Linked DNA regions of Arabidopsis thaliana. The protein of the gene in region 2 interacts with the protein of the main gene of each other region in a biochemical or structural test. Each region holds a gene or a part of one and is shown on either strand. Other genes may lie near its edges.

Region 1 (7,883 bases), 1.7 Mb from region 2:
TTTCTGAATAGTTCTCTCAAAGGCTGTGAAAAGGGGGAAGGAGGAAGGTTATGATGTTGTACTGTGCGACACATCTGGACGTAAGCATACAAGAGTTTGCTTGCTGACTTAAAAAACATGCTTATGTACCGTCTTTACTGAATCTGAGGAACATTACACCTCTTTATGTAAGGTCTCCATACTAATTACAGTTTGATGGAGGAGTTGATTGCGTGCAAAAAAGCAGTGGGCAAGATTGTCTCTGGTGCACCTAATGTGAGTGAGCCTTTTTACTTATCCTATTCTGTTATCTTGCTTATATTATTACACTCTGTTAGTCTCCAATTTCGATCATGCGTTAGCTAAAAATAATATTTTACGGAATTGTTAGGAGATCCTACTTGTCCTTGATGGAAACACTGGTTTGAACATGCTTCCACAAGCTAGAGAATTCAACGAGGTACCATACGAAACTACCTAAACCTAGTGATTCTGGCTCCCCAAACTAGAATTTCTTCGTAAAATCTTGAGGTTTCTGGGTTACATTTTTTTCAGGTTGTTGGTATCACCGGTTTGATATTGACGAAACTAGATGGCTCTGCTAGAGGAGGCTGTGTGGTAAATATCTCATAAAATTTTTGATCTCATTCAAAGCTCTTATTTTTCATTAGCTCTGTCATTGAAACTGGTTCTCCATGTCTTGCAGGTCAGTGTGGTTGAGGAATTGGGCATTCCCGTAAAGTTTATCGGTGTAGGAGAAGCTGTAGAAGATCTCCAACCTTTTGATCCGGAGGCTTTTGTGAATGCTATATTCTCTTAAGCCATAAAACCTCGTCTTCTTCAAAAAGCTATCATCTTCAACGCAGGCCAGAGCCAAGTGGAAAATTCACAGTGAATTCGCCGGAGATGCAAATGGAAGCATTCCTTATTTTCTTGGAGATCTTAGGTTGACAAGCTTTTTCTGCAATGGATGCAAGTTTCGATTTTTAATGATGTGACAAAGCTCGTTTGCACACTGATAGTGATCACACAAGAATGTAACGAGTCATAGGAACTGCTTGTGTCTCGTCTCACTACTATTTTGTATATTGTTAATGTTGTATTTGAAAGGAATTACAAAGATTGATAAAAGAACAATGAGGGGAGGAAAACCGTAAAAAAGAAAGAAAAAAAAATGAAACTTTTTTAAAAAATATTCATAACTTGTATATAATCCACAAAACGATGCAAAGGTCAAATGACATGATCCATAATTCGATTAGTTTTCATATCATTTTGTAAAAATTAATATTCAAATTTAAAAATAAAAACTGTAAAAATGAAAGAATAAAAAACAAAAATTTAAAACTTTTGAAAATATATTAATATGAAACTTGTATATTAATTCTACAAAACATTGTGAAAACAAGTTGAATTAGTGGTATCGGCATACGACTTCAAATGACAAGATCCAAAATCCGGTTAATTTTTATTTTATTTTGTAAATCTAATATCCAAATTAAAAGTTAAAAACCATAAAAAAGAAAAAAAAACAAAAATTTTAAAATTTTTCGAAAATGTTAATAATTTGTATATTAGATCTACAAAACGATGCGAAAACAAGTTAAATTAGTGGAATCGGCTAACGATCAAAAACTGTAAGAAAGAAAAGAACAAAAATAAAATTTATAAAAAACCTCTTAGAAAAATATTAATAACATGTATATTAAATCTATAAAACGATGTGAAAAACAAGTTGAATTAGTGGAATCGGCTAACGATCAAATGACTAGGTCAAATGACAGGATCCAAAATCCGGTTAGTTTCCATATCATTTTGTAAATTTAATATCCAAATTAAAATTTGAAAACCGTAAGAAAGAAAAGAACAAAAATCACCTTTAAAAAAAATATATTAATAACTTGTATATTAAATCTACTAAACGATGCGAAAACAAGTTGAATTTGTGGAATCGGCTAACGATCAAATGATTAGGTCAAATGACAGGATTCAAAATCCGGTCAGCTTTCATATCATTTTATAAATTTAATATCCAAATTAAATTTGAAAACCCTTAGATGGGAAAAAATCAAAATTTTAAAACCTTATAAAAAAATATTCATAACTTCTATCTCAGTTTGTAAATCTAAGTAATTTAAGGGCTAAAAAGAAAATAGGGCTAAGAATTGACTTTTATGGCGGGCTGAAATTGATATTGTTGGGCTTTGAAGAATTGCACCTTAGTCCTGAGCCCAAACGACACCATCTCTAATCTTACGGCAAAGCAGTCCTCCACCAGACCACCACCGTTATCGGAAACGAATTCCCCAGTCTCTCCGTCGCGATCTCCGTCGCTGATTGTCACGAATTACGATTCACGAAGCCGAATATTTTTATTGAAATAACCATTAGAACTTAGAACCGCCAAAACAGATCCTAGAGCGAGTATCTTCACCGCCATAGCGTTCATGCAAGTCTTCGTCACCGGATCTTCACTAGCGCCGACGATATAATTAGAAAAAACCATAACCGTTTCTCTGAACCGCTGATCGATTAGGTTATATACAAAGAAGACTTTTGAAGATCCTCAACGTAAAGAGGATTCGATTCTAGGGTTTTTTTCTTCTCCTTAGTGCGAGATTTTCTTATCTCTTAATGATGAAGTAAGTCCGTATTTATAGATTGGTGTGAGTTAATTAATTTCCTTTTTTTATAAAACAAAATATTACCGTTACATTACATATTCTCCGGTTTACCGTTGCATACAACCGTTTAATATAAACGTTGCATACAACCGTTTAATATAAACGTTGCTGTGTGAAGTGCACGCTCTTGTTCCTCTTATCATTTGTGTGAAAATACATCAAATATCACCTTGTTTTTTTGTCAAGTGCTCTCGTTTGAATTTTTTTTTGGTTATAAAGTCATATTTCCCAATTTGCATAATGATATACAAATATAAACCGGATGGCCCAAAAAGGCGAAAACCATTAGTAGTACTGGCCCAAATTGCTTCTTCATAAAATTAATTGTTTTCGGCCTCAATACTATTTCATGTTTTTTGGGTCAACAACGTCCAAGTACCCTTTATATAACATAAATAAGGATTGTTAGAAAAGAATAATTTTGATGTGTCACGATTATTTTATCAACCAATCACTGATCTCTAGGAGAAAAAGTGAGGACCCATAGTTTAAGCGACACTCTTTGGTTAAAGAATAAAGATTAGATCGGTCCAATTTATATATTTACATGTTCCGCCATTATCATCTTCTAATTTGAAAACTCTTCATCATTCCCTACCACCGGATTCAATGGCGGCGAAAATTCCCGGAGTGATCGCTTTGTTCGACGTCGACGGTACTCTCACAGCTCCAAGGAAGGAAGCTACTCCAGAATTGCTCGATTTTATCCGAGAATTGCGAAAGGTATCTCATTGATCCATCGTTGCTAAGTTCCGTTTCTGTTGGTTGTGTTTATGCCTACTTAGTGTTTGATATAATGTATGTGAGAGTTTCAGGTCGTCACTATTGGAGTCGTCGGTGGATCTGATCTAAGTAAGATATCTGAGCAGCTTGGCAAAACAGGTACGACTGTGATCGGATCGGAAAAACTATAACCTGCTGTAGAATTTTCGATTTGGTATTCAAAGAAAGGATATTTTCCTACTTCTATTAGAATGGTCTCTTTTGCTCTTTTCTACTATATATGGATGGATCCTTTAAAAGTGGAGACAAACTATATAGATTTTCTCTGCTTCAAATCTTTGACTAGATCCATTAGTAGCATGCATACAGAAGATCCTTGAAGTCTGTAGATTTGGAATTTGGGATAGCTGCTGATCATTAAGTTGGTTGAGTTCAAATTGTGGAATGAGTTTGATTTACCTAAGTCTTAGTTCAAGAAGGAGTTTTAGATCTGGCTCTAATTTTCTTGCCTTGTGAGATTCTCTTGGCTTAAACTTTTGAATTTGTAAATTTTGCAGTCACAAACGACTATGATTATTGTTTCTCTGAGAATGGTCTTGTCGCCCATAAAGATGGGAAATCCATTGGAATTCAGGTGCATATGAACCTATAGCTTTACTTACTTACATCCACATTGTTGTTTTATCGTTTCTTAATAGTTTGTATCTTTTTTCTCAGAGCCTGAAGCTGCACCTTGGAGACGATAAACTCAAGGTAAACTCATATCACTGTCCTTCATGTGTCGTAGCAGCAGTTGCTTTAGTGGTTTTATTGATGTTGAAGTGTATGCAAGTATATATGTATATAGATAGTTTCTGATAGCGTAAATTGATGATGCAGGAGTTGATAAATTTCACGCTGCACTACATTGCAGACCTGGATATTCCAATTAAGAGGTATAACGTGGATCCAACTGCTAGTCTCTAATCATGTTTGCAAAGTGATAAGATGATTTATTTTCTTGAAATTTGTATACATAGGGGAACATTTATTGAATTCCGAAATGGAATGCTCAATGTATCACCCATTGGTCGCAACTGCAGCCAAGAAGAAAGAGATGAATTTGAGAGATATGATAAGGTAGAAGAAACTATATTTAGTTTGTTCAATTTCTTATAGAATATATTTTGAGCATTGTCATTCAACACTTTTTTTAAAAGGTTCAAAACATCCGACCAAAGATGGTAGCTGAACTTCGTGAGCGGTTTGCACATCTTAACCTTACTTTCTCAATTGGGGGACAGATAAGCTTCGATGTGAGTAGAATCAAAATGTGGATTATAACAATTTCTTAAATCCATTTTTTGAGTCACTGAGTCTAATCAAATTGTTATGACTTAGGTCTTCCCTAAAGGTTGGGATAAGACTTACTGCTTGCAATACCTCGAGGACTTCAGTGAAATCCATTTCTTCGGTGACAAGACCTATGAGGTATAAGACTCATCTCAACTCTGCAAATCTATTCATTAGAGTTGTTGTATGGTTTCCGTTGAGCTTGATGGGTAAAAATATGGCTTTTACTTCTGCAGGGTGGAAATGACTATGAAATCTATGAATCACCAAAAACAATTGGCCATTCAGGTCAGCTACTTGGATATATTATCGTTTAATCTCTGTATGTTTGTGTTGCGAGATATTTTCATGACAAATAGGATTGTTTCTGTTGTTGCAGTTACGAGTCCAGATGACACAGTGGCAAAATGCAAGGCTCTGTTCATGTCTTGAAACACTACTCATCTCAAGAACACAGTGTCAAGAGTTTGATTCTTCTTTGGCGAAATCTCACAACTCTTGATTACAAGAAATGGAGAGAAGTGTGTTTGAATGCTATCTATACCGTATGTTTTGAATTTTGATTCATCAAATAAAATATCTTGTTATAACCTTTTGTTTCAGAACATGGTCCTCAAAGTTTTAAAACTAAAGGTTAAAAATATCCTCTTCAAAAAAAATTGGATGTTAAAGATTTTGTTTACAACAGATTCTCTCCAAAAAGAGCTTTAAAACTTTACAAGAATTTACAAGAAGAAACAACAACAATTTGTATTTATATATTCATTAAACAGAAACGCATATAAAAACTTCAAACTTGAGAACTGATAAGATCATTCCTCCACGACATTTTCAAGACTCAACGACCGGCTCAGGCTCCTCTTCTCCTGCAGCTTCAGGGGCAGCGTCATCTTCTTTTGCTTCGGGAATTGAGGCGGTGTCGTCAGGTTTGTGATCATCAGAAGGAGGAGAAGCGCCACCAGAAGAGGCGGATCGACGGTGGTTAGCAGCGGCTTGATGGACGTGATTGTAACTGCCTTTCTCGAGAAAGAGCTGATTGAAGTGGACTTTACAGTAGAGGACGCCATTAAGAGAAGCGTAAGAAGAGTGAGTCAAAGGACAACCACTGTGTGTGCACCTGAAGCAAGTCTTGTGGTAACTTTCTCCTTCCATTGTTACTTTCTCAAGTGGGTAAACCGTCTTCTTACAAGTCGCACATTTGTCTTGTGTTCCACTGAAGAATGATGATAACTTGCTTGGAGTTCGAGTCTTGCAGTATCCATCAATTGAGACAAATCAGATGAAAAAAAAGAGGAAATAAAAACAAGATGATGAATCTTTGAAGACATTACCAGATGATCATTGGGCTTCTCGGTCTTTCCTGCCTGAAAATTCTTGCTGTAATTGCCAGATTCTTTGAAAAGCTGTTCGAAGTGTGGCTTACAGTAAAGAACTCCATCCATTGATGAGTAATTGCTTATCTGTGTTAAGAAAAGATGTGGTCTTTTAAAACAATGAAGCATTGTCGAAAAACAGAGTAACAATGGAGGAAGAAGAAGAAAAGAGAAATACCACGAGAGTGCCTTTGCAATGGGTGCATCTGAAACATGATTTGTGATAAGTATTACCCTCTAATGTTAACAAATCCATCACGTACACGGTTTTGTCACAGGCCTTGCATTTATCCAATGTTCCTGTAAACGACATTTTCTCTCTTTCTTTCGGATGTTAGATTCAAAAAGTTTGTTCTTCGTTCGCCGGTTCTTGTCTTAGGACACGACCAAACGACGACGAGAGAAAAAACACCAGGTTTTGTGTTTTTTTCTTTTCATCTCTCAAGTTCTCTGTCTTATTTATCAAAAATTCTTGAAGAAATGAGAATTTGTGGTAATTTTGGTTCTAGTGGTAGAGATTCGAAAGAGGAGAAGCCATTCAATCATTGTCGATCATCAAAATTCTAATTTCAATTTTACAATTTTAGACTCCGAGCACAATGAAGGGTATCGACGTTTTCAGCCGTACGCTCTGTTTGCGGAAGATCCGAAGATCTATTTTTAAAAATTACGAGAGAATAATGATAAATACAAAGAAATGTGGGGGTTATTTCATAATTATACGAACGTACAAGGCTAATTTAGTGAAATAAATGTGGATAAGAGTGAGTGAAACTGAAGAAGAGCCTGTCCGTGTAATGAAAATCCACTTGACGACCTAAACAACAACAACGACTCCGGCGAGTGTATGTATCTTTCACTTTCTCACTAACCAACCAGACGACAAAAGAAAATTATTCATCTTAGCTAAGCTCGATTAGTTTCTGGCGGAAACGGTTTTGTGGATAATTGTTAGCATATTCCGATCTTGCCCTCCCCCGAGAGAGAGAGTCCAATCAATCAATCAATCAATCATCTCTTACGAAGCTACGTGTGACCTAACATTCTCCAGATTGTTGTTTATAGCCTCTTCTTAGATTTACGATTTGTGAGCTTGTGAAGATTTCTTGGTAGAATTAGAGTTCTCTGTTTCGAGATCGAGATGAATAATAATAATAATAATAGAGGAAGATTTCCACCGGGGATTGGTGCGGCGGGTCCTGGTCCGGATCCTAATTTTCAGTCACGGAATCCGAATCCACCTCAGCCTCAACAGTACCTTCAGTCACGGACTCCGTTTCCACAGCAACCTCAGCCTCAGCCTCCTCAGTATCTCCAGTCTCAATCTGATGCTCAGCAGTACGTTCAGCGAGGTTATCCCCAGCAGATTCAACAGCAACAGCAACTGCAGCAGCAACAACAACAACAACAGCAGCAGCAAGAACAACAATGGTCTCGACGGGCTCAGCTTCCTGGTGATCCAAGTTACATAGATGAGGTCGAAAAAACGGTTCAATCTGAAGCTATTAGCGATTCTAAGTAAGTGCTCGTTTGGAAGAATGGTTATTATGAATGGTGCTCTTGTTGTGATGTTTAACGGGTTATGTGTTTTCTTATGCTTATCAGTAATGAAGACTGGAAAGCAACCTTAAAGCTGCCACCACGAGATAATCGTTACCAGACAGAGGTATGAATGATTGCATAGTTATATGATTTTTGTTTTGACAAGACAGCAGTTCCCTTAGAACTTAGTTTTTCCATATCTTGTCTTCAGGATGTGACTGCCACTAAAGGAAATGAATTTGAAGATTAC
Region 2 (7,198 bases):
TTGATGAACCATACCATCACCATTCTTGTCGAATAACCTGAAAGATTCCCTGTATTCTGTAATCTGATCGTCAGTGAGCTTATCCGCCATTGTTTTTTTTGTTTTCTGTGATGACTGAAAGAAGAGTTTGTGAGACAATTTGTACTACGAACCAGGACTTGAAGCCTTATATAATAGTACCCGAATTATTTGAAATGACGGCTATATCCTCAAACTTTTCCACGTTCACGCAATTTCTACGCAGGATCGTTGTCTGCCATGTCAGCTTATCCTTTCAAGTGTGAGTCGCCTCCTTTGACTGGCAATTACTTGGTTGGTTCCTTCTTCCAACTTGTTTTTTTTTTTTTTTTTCATTTATTTGAAAGAAACATTTATTTACAATGGAATTTTGGATGGGTGAGTGGACATTTGCCTAATTTATATTTTAGGTTATAGTTTTCTTATACTGACTCCGAAGGAGTGTCCTTATTTATGCAAAACTAAATAAATCATAATAGAGAAAACACTTGCATAAGATAAAAATGAATCGAAGAAATACAAGCGTATGACAATTGATTAGCACATGTTTAGTAAAGTGTTGTTGTTGAAGTTAACGAACGTTACCAATGAAATCTGATCTGAGGGATTCCACAAGTGCATTCTACTTGAGAAAGAGCAGAGAAGTTTCTACATCCTGAATATTCCTGATTTAACATCTCTGCTGTGGAAGGAATTCGCAAGACAAGTGTGTGGAAGGTTAGAAGAAACTACACAAACGACCAAAAACATGGTACATAAGAAATAACGAGAAAGACCACAGAAGTTTCTACCTTGCGGGGATGGCTTGAGCAAGTAAAGTTGACAGAAAACCACTTCCTGTGCCCGACTCAAGAATCACGGGCAGGGGCAATCTCAAGGTAGACTAGAAAGCTACTACTACCCGCCGCAATGTAAAGAATCTGAGTCTTGTGACCTGTTTCCATATGACCCAACATGCCACATGTACTGCATACAAATTTACCCTTGTTGCTTTGGATTTTGGGCCAGCGAAATTACACGGGTACAAAATAAGAAAAGCCCATATCGAAGACATGTTATCCAAGTTTTCTGATATTGAACATGCAGTAATTTTCCACACATTGTAGTCCAAATGGGTCAAAGGGCGTCCTTTGTTTTGCTCAAAACACTTGGGTTATCGAAATTGTAGACGTGTGTTTTCAATGTTGCAGGGCAGGTTGGTGCGAGGCATGTCATTATTCATTAGATGAGTCCTTATAAGAGTCTTGAAGAACTCTGGGACGGTGAGATATGAGGCTTAGCTGATTTGATCACTGTATGTGCCAAATCATTAACCGATTTAGATCAATTTTTAGTAATGCTACCAGTTTTCAATAATTAGTTCTGCTACGTTTTAAATGTTTTTCTCAAAAGATACATTGATACCCCAATTATATTCGATACTGAAACCATATTACAAACTCATTTTAATAAATTGCATGCAAGAAAAGATGGTAACACAATAAATTTATTACATAGAAATTATTTTCAAAGATCAAACGCCTTTTTAGAGAGATCTAACATACCAGCCAGACCCTAATGGCATAAAGTTACTGATGTACCATTTCAAGAAAACAACGCTTCGAACAAATTTTTGATGAAGTCGGTCATTGGCGCTGCGATGATATTTTTGGCAACCCCGGCCGCCAAGTCCCTCTCCAAAGTGCCACCAGTTGTGTCATATTTAGTATCATGACCTTGATTCCTAGCCATACACACAAGAACTCAGAATGAAATTTAAGAACAAGAGAGGAACATTCTTTATGAAATTAGATAAGAGGTAGTAAAAAAAGGGGAAGCGGAAAAGTTGTTTAAATCTCACTTGGCCATCATAAGCCTGGCAAACTCTCTGTAGTTGATCTGACCATCACCATCAACATCAGCTGCCTTGATAATCTCATCGATTTCTTCATCAGTTTGCTTCCACCGGAGGATAGTCCTCACATATCTCATTTCAGCAGCTGAGATGAAACCATTCTTGTCTATGTCAAAGAGTCTGAAATCTTTCTTGAGGTCTTTCTCAGAGTAAGTGTCCTTAGCCATTGCGCACAAGAACTCAGTGAAATTGATGGTTCCGTCACCATCTAAATCCGAATCGTTGATCTCCTCCTGAAGCTCAGCTTGGGTCAGGTTTAAACCGAGGGAACGCATCACGGCACCGAACTCCTCTGTGGTAATGTGACCTACAAGAAGTAATCAAGGACTTGTGTTAGTCATTTTCAGTGCTTTGAAGATGATTCAGGATCCAATATGTACGATTAGAGGAATAGAGACGATGAACCATACCATCACCATTCTTGTCGTATACGCTGAACTGTTCCCTAAACTCTGAAATCTGTTGTCTAGTGAACTTATTCGCCATTGTTTTTTATTTTCTGTGATGACTGAGAGAAGAGTTTGTACTACGAACTCTCGGCCTTGAAGCCTTTTTTATAAAACTGAATTCACTGCCATGTCAGCTTTTGCTTTCATGTGAGTCGCCTCCTTGGTTTGTTACTCTAATTGGTTGGTTCCTTCTTCCAAATCGTTATCATCATTAAATGCTGTCTTTTTTTTCTTTTCTTTTTTGTATTTCCATTTATTTGAAAGAAACATTTATTTACAATGGACTAGAGACTTAATAATATATGGTCTTCTACAGAAGAAAACAATTGAATAGAATTATCAACGGTGAAGTATTCATTTGGACTTTTGGATGGGTAGTGGACCAATCGCTACATTTGTCTAAATTATTTCGTTGATTTTTCTCGTTGGTTCGTTCCTTCTTCCAAATTCATTAATATTATTTTCGTTCATTAAATGCTGTCTTTTTCTTCTTCTTCTTTTTTTTTTTTTTTTTTTTTTTGTATTTCCATTTATTGACAATGGACTAGAGACTTAATAATATATGGTCTTCTACAGAAGAAAACAATGGAATAGAATTATCAACGGTGGAAGATTCATTTGGAATTTTGGATGAGTAACTGGACCAATCGCTACATTTGTCTAAATTATATTTTACTTTTATGTTATAGTTTTCTTATACTAACTTTTAATAAATAGTTTATAAAAACACTCATGAGTTCTGGGAAGTGCTTCAACGTCCGTATTTATGCAAAACTTAACAAATCATAATAAAGCAAACACTTGCATAAGATAAAAATGAATCGAAGATGCTTATGACGATTGATTATCACATGTTTACTAAAGTGGTGTTGTTGAAGTTAACGAACTTTACCTATGAAAAATCTGATCTGAGGGATTCGCAAGTGCATTCTACTTGAGAACCCACTCCATCCTCTGATCTAACATCTCTGCTTTGGAAAGAATCGCAAGCCAAGGGTGTGGAAGGTTAGAAACTACACAAACGACCAAAAACATGGTACATACGAAATAACGCGAACCATAGTTTCTACCTTGCGGAGATGGCTTGAGTAAGTAAAGTTGACAGCAAACCACTTCATGTTCCTGACTCAAGAATAACACAGGCAGGAGCAATCTCAAGGTAGACTACAAAGCTACTACCCGCAGTGTAATTTTACCCTTGCTGCTGAATGCTTTCGTCCCAGATGGCTTCCCGATCCAATCTGAGTGCTTAAGACTCCAGAAAGACTCTGAAGCAGAGAGTCATAGCATACTTTAACTGCCCAGCTACCAATAATCGCCGCAAGAACACTTTCCGTTAATGAAATGATGGAATCTACTACCATCTCTTAACGTGATCTCTCGGTTCTTGATCACCGATATATATTTGAAAGCAACATGGCAATCACTGCAAACCCGCAAGTTCTTGATTATTCTAATCGGTGCACCTTCAGGTAATATCATGAGCGCAAATGCAACCGCTAGTTTCTCGCTGTGCTGCACCAAGTCTGATTCTTTCTCCTCCTCATCCATATCATGCAATACTGACGCTGTATCAGGCTTGTATCCCTTCAGCTTCATCTCCAGAGTCAGTTCTTTCAGGTATGAATAGATCTCTTTAGATTTAGACTGAGAGCGATCTCCCATCTTAAACTGATGAACTTCACCTTTGTGTTCAAACCAGCTGATTCCCGCTTCTTTCTTCACATTCTTATCTCTCATCGATTTTCTCACCTCTGATACATCGCGCCATCTCTTAGCTGAGGCGTGAACATTTGCAAGCAGGACGTAACAAGCAGAGTCATTAGGGTCAATCTGAAGAATCTCTTTAAAGACTCTCTGTGCCATTTCTGCGTTTTTGTGTATGTTACACGCAGATAACAATGTTTTCCATATAACAATGTCTGTTTTTATTGGCATAGACCTTATTATTGCCTCGGCTTGATCCAAACAGCCTGCTCGACCGAGCAAATCCACCACACAAGTGTAGTGCTTTAAACCTGGCTTGAACCCGTATTTTTCCACCATCATGTCAAACAACTCAAGCCCTTTGTCTTTTAAGCCAGAATGACTACACGCATAAAGTAAATTCAGAAACGCGACCTCGTTTATCTCCATGTTCGTCTGCTCTGCCATAGTATTAAACAGCTCGATTGCCTCATCGCCTTGTCCATGAAACCCATAAGCAGAAATCATTGAGCTCCACATCACTTCATCTTCATCTTCACGTTCCGAGAAAGCTTTAGCTGCATCTCCAAGACACCCACATTTTGAATACATACTGATCAATGAACTAACTACAGCTACGACAGAGCTAGCCCCAATTTTAATAGCTTCCGCATGAATCTGCTGACCTTGACCTCTTATCGCTAAGTCAGAACAAGAACTGAGCACAGTTACAAATGTGATCTTGTTCGGCCTACAACCTGAGATTTTCATCATCTTATACAGATAAAGCACGGTTTCAGGACATCCGTTTTGCGCGTTCCCCATGATGAGTGTATTCCATGCAACCAAATTACGAACCGGCATTGATCTTATAACAATCTCGCCATCTTGCAATTTCCCATTTCTCATATACATATGAGCCAACGAACTATTAACAACTAAATCCAACTCAAGCCCATATTTGATCGTGTAGCCATGAATCTGCTGCCCTATAGACACTGACCTCAACCCAGCAGATCCGCTAAAAACACTACCAAGAGTATATTCATCAGGCGAAAACCCCAATCCGTGCATTTCCCTAAACAAACTCAAACCCTCTTCGTTAAACTCAAACTGGATCAAACCAGCAATCATAGCATTCCAAGTTGTGAGCTTTCTATCAGGCATTTCATCAAACACCTTCCGGGCATTTACCAAATCGCCTGCACGAACATACCCATTGATGAGTATGTTAGATGACATATAATTCTTCTTACGCATACGTCCATATACTGCAACAGCGGAAGGAAAATCTCCAAGCTTGGAGTACATGCTCATCAGATGATTGCATATGAACTTGTCGGAGGAGAATCCGGAGACGACGAGAAGACAATGGAGCTGCTTTCCGGACGGAAGAGATTGTCTGGTGGTGCATGATTGAATAAAAGGGGTGAAGAGAGAAGTGTTTGTGAAGATGTTGAGTCGGAATCTCTGGAAAGCTTCTCGAAGGTTACCCTTTGAGCACAAAGTAGCTATGGCTGTCGCAGGATCTACTGATAGTGGACGAACAACAGAGGAAACTGAGCAACGCATTTACTATTGAATTGCCGGAGATTGTTTCCGATTTGGATTCTCAGGGACTGTCGTTGCTCGAAGAAGAAGAAGGAACGAATAATTAGACACTCGATTTAATTGGGCCGTAATCAGAAGCCCAATAAGTATTAGTAACCAAGTATCAAAAACGGTTTAGCATAACCATCAATCTATTGCTTAATTGTGTAAGGTACTAAAACTATTGTCGAATTCATACTTGAACTAGTGTTTGTACTCAAAAAGTTTGAACTAGCTGCAAAAGAGGAATACACTCAAGAAATGTTTATAAAGACATGCTGTTCAAAGTCAATAAAGTCTACACAATATACAAAGAACAAAGCGGTCTGATATAAACCAACACAAAGAAGAAGAAAGAAAGAAGAGTCTTTAGGATCAGAGAGAAGCAGAGTTTGTTCGCCGGAGCTTCCACTTAGGATCTGGTGGTGGTTCACTTGGTAGGATCTTCTCCACCTCCTGCCATTATAATCAGATTAAAGAAAACCACTAAATCTAAAACGACACTAGATCATGAAGCAAGCTGCAGAGATGGGATTTTTACCTTTAGCCTCCGAAGTTTTTCGTTTTCTTCTTCTAACCTTGAAACCTTGATCTCTAATTCATGTGTATAAGCCTGCAAGTTTCAATGTGATGACTAGACCAACTAACAACAAACAAACAAATATTAACTAAGTAAAAACACAATGTCAAGTTCTTAACCTGTTTCCTAGCTCGTGAACGTGCTGCAGATTCTCTGTTCTTGATCATCCTCTTCTGTCTCCTCTCAACAGTCTTCTCCACAATCTCTCCAGCTACTCTTTTCCTCCCAGGCGCTTGTGGTGTATCCGATAATCCACCCATCATCACCATATCTTGCATCTCGCAAACCGGATATGTCATAAACCCTTGTTGTTGTTGAGGCTGATGATGATACTCAACCCATTGCCCATTTGAAGCTATGTTAACAACATTTTCTTGAGGGACTACTGTCTCAGTCACTACACCAGCTCTCAACAACAAATCCTCAAGTGTTATTTCACCGAGTGTAGGCTGCTTATGAGTAGTAGTAGTACTAGTACCGTTTCCATTCTTGTCCTGTTGGATATCTCTCCAGACCTCATCAACTGTCTTTTTACTGAGATCTCGAGGTAACGTCAAGCTTCCCTGACGAACAAGCCCTTCCTCAGCTGGTGGCAAGACAGTCTTGAGAAGCTCATCAAGGTTCATGCTTCCTAGTGGTTTTCCAGAACTTCCTAAGTGGGTTTGAACCTCATGGAGCTTTAAGCTATAGAGAGAGTTCTGCCTCGTTAATGACTGAGATATAGGCTCTTCAATGTTTCCTCTAATAGAACCCATATATGTAGCCTTTACACAGAAAACAATAACAATTTAGTAATCCTGGTTCAATCTAAACAACTAAAAAATCGAGAATCTCTAAGGTACTAACAAACAATCAGGGAATTTGCATGCAGTATTCGAGTGCTTAAAAACGCAGATAACAACTCAACTAGAGAAATGAGAGGTGGCAGGAGATTGTGAATAAGGGAACAAAAGTTTAAGGATGATGTTGAAAGTGGCTTCA

Evidence for each region.
Region 1: the proteins of AT2G41090 (region 2) and PMM form a complex in vitro, tested with the Arabidopsis thaliana proteins (one study listed by BioGRID).

Annotation. Positions count from the first base shown.
Region 1 is NC_003071.7:18,852,604-18,860,486, forward strand, and holds PMM (phosphomannomutase), read left to right. Parts: upstream 1-3,071; 5' UTR 3,072-3,272; coding exon 3,273-3,386; intron 3,387-3,478; coding exon 3,479-3,545; intron 3,546-3,943; coding exon 3,944-4,020; intron 4,021-4,103; coding exon 4,104-4,139; intron 4,140-4,265; coding exon 4,266-4,321; intron 4,322-4,405; coding exon 4,406-4,505; intron 4,506-4,585; coding exon 4,586-4,681; intron 4,682-4,766; coding exon 4,767-4,856; intron 4,857-4,954; coding exon 4,955-5,006; intron 5,007-5,097; coding exon 5,098-5,150; 3' UTR 5,151-5,415; downstream 5,416-7,883. Other genes in the region: CPFTSY (signal recognition particle receptor protein, chloroplast (FTSY)), read left to right, coding at 12-80, 173-255, 371-439, 535-597, 686-799; PLIM2a (GATA type zinc finger transcription factor family protein), read right to left, coding at 5,550-5,966, 6,050-6,178, 6,270-6,404; AT2G45810 (DEA(D/H)-box RNA helicase family protein), read left to right, coding at 7,233-7,609, 7,697-7,757, 7,845-7,883. UniProt on the Arabidopsis thaliana protein: Catalyzes the interconversion of mannose-6-phosphate to mannose-1-phosphate, the precursor for the synthesis of GDP-mannose.
Region 2 is NC_003071.7:17,131,023-17,138,220, reverse strand, and holds AT2G41090 (Calcium-binding EF-hand family protein), read right to left. Parts: upstream 2,875-7,198; 5' UTR 2,399-2,874; coding exon 2,323-2,398; intron 2,220-2,322; coding exon 1,859-2,219; intron 1,742-1,858; coding exon 1,603-1,741; 3' UTR 1,222-1,602; downstream 1-1,221. Other genes in the region: TCH3 (Calcium-binding EF hand family protein), read right to left, coding at 15-90; AT2G41082 (uncharacterized protein), read right to left, coding at 3,292-3,396; AT2G41080 (pentatricopeptide (PPR) repeat protein), read right to left, coding at 3,667-5,619; EEL (Basic-leucine zipper (bZIP) transcription factor family protein), read right to left, coding at 6,013-6,093, 6,179-6,250, 6,337-6,981.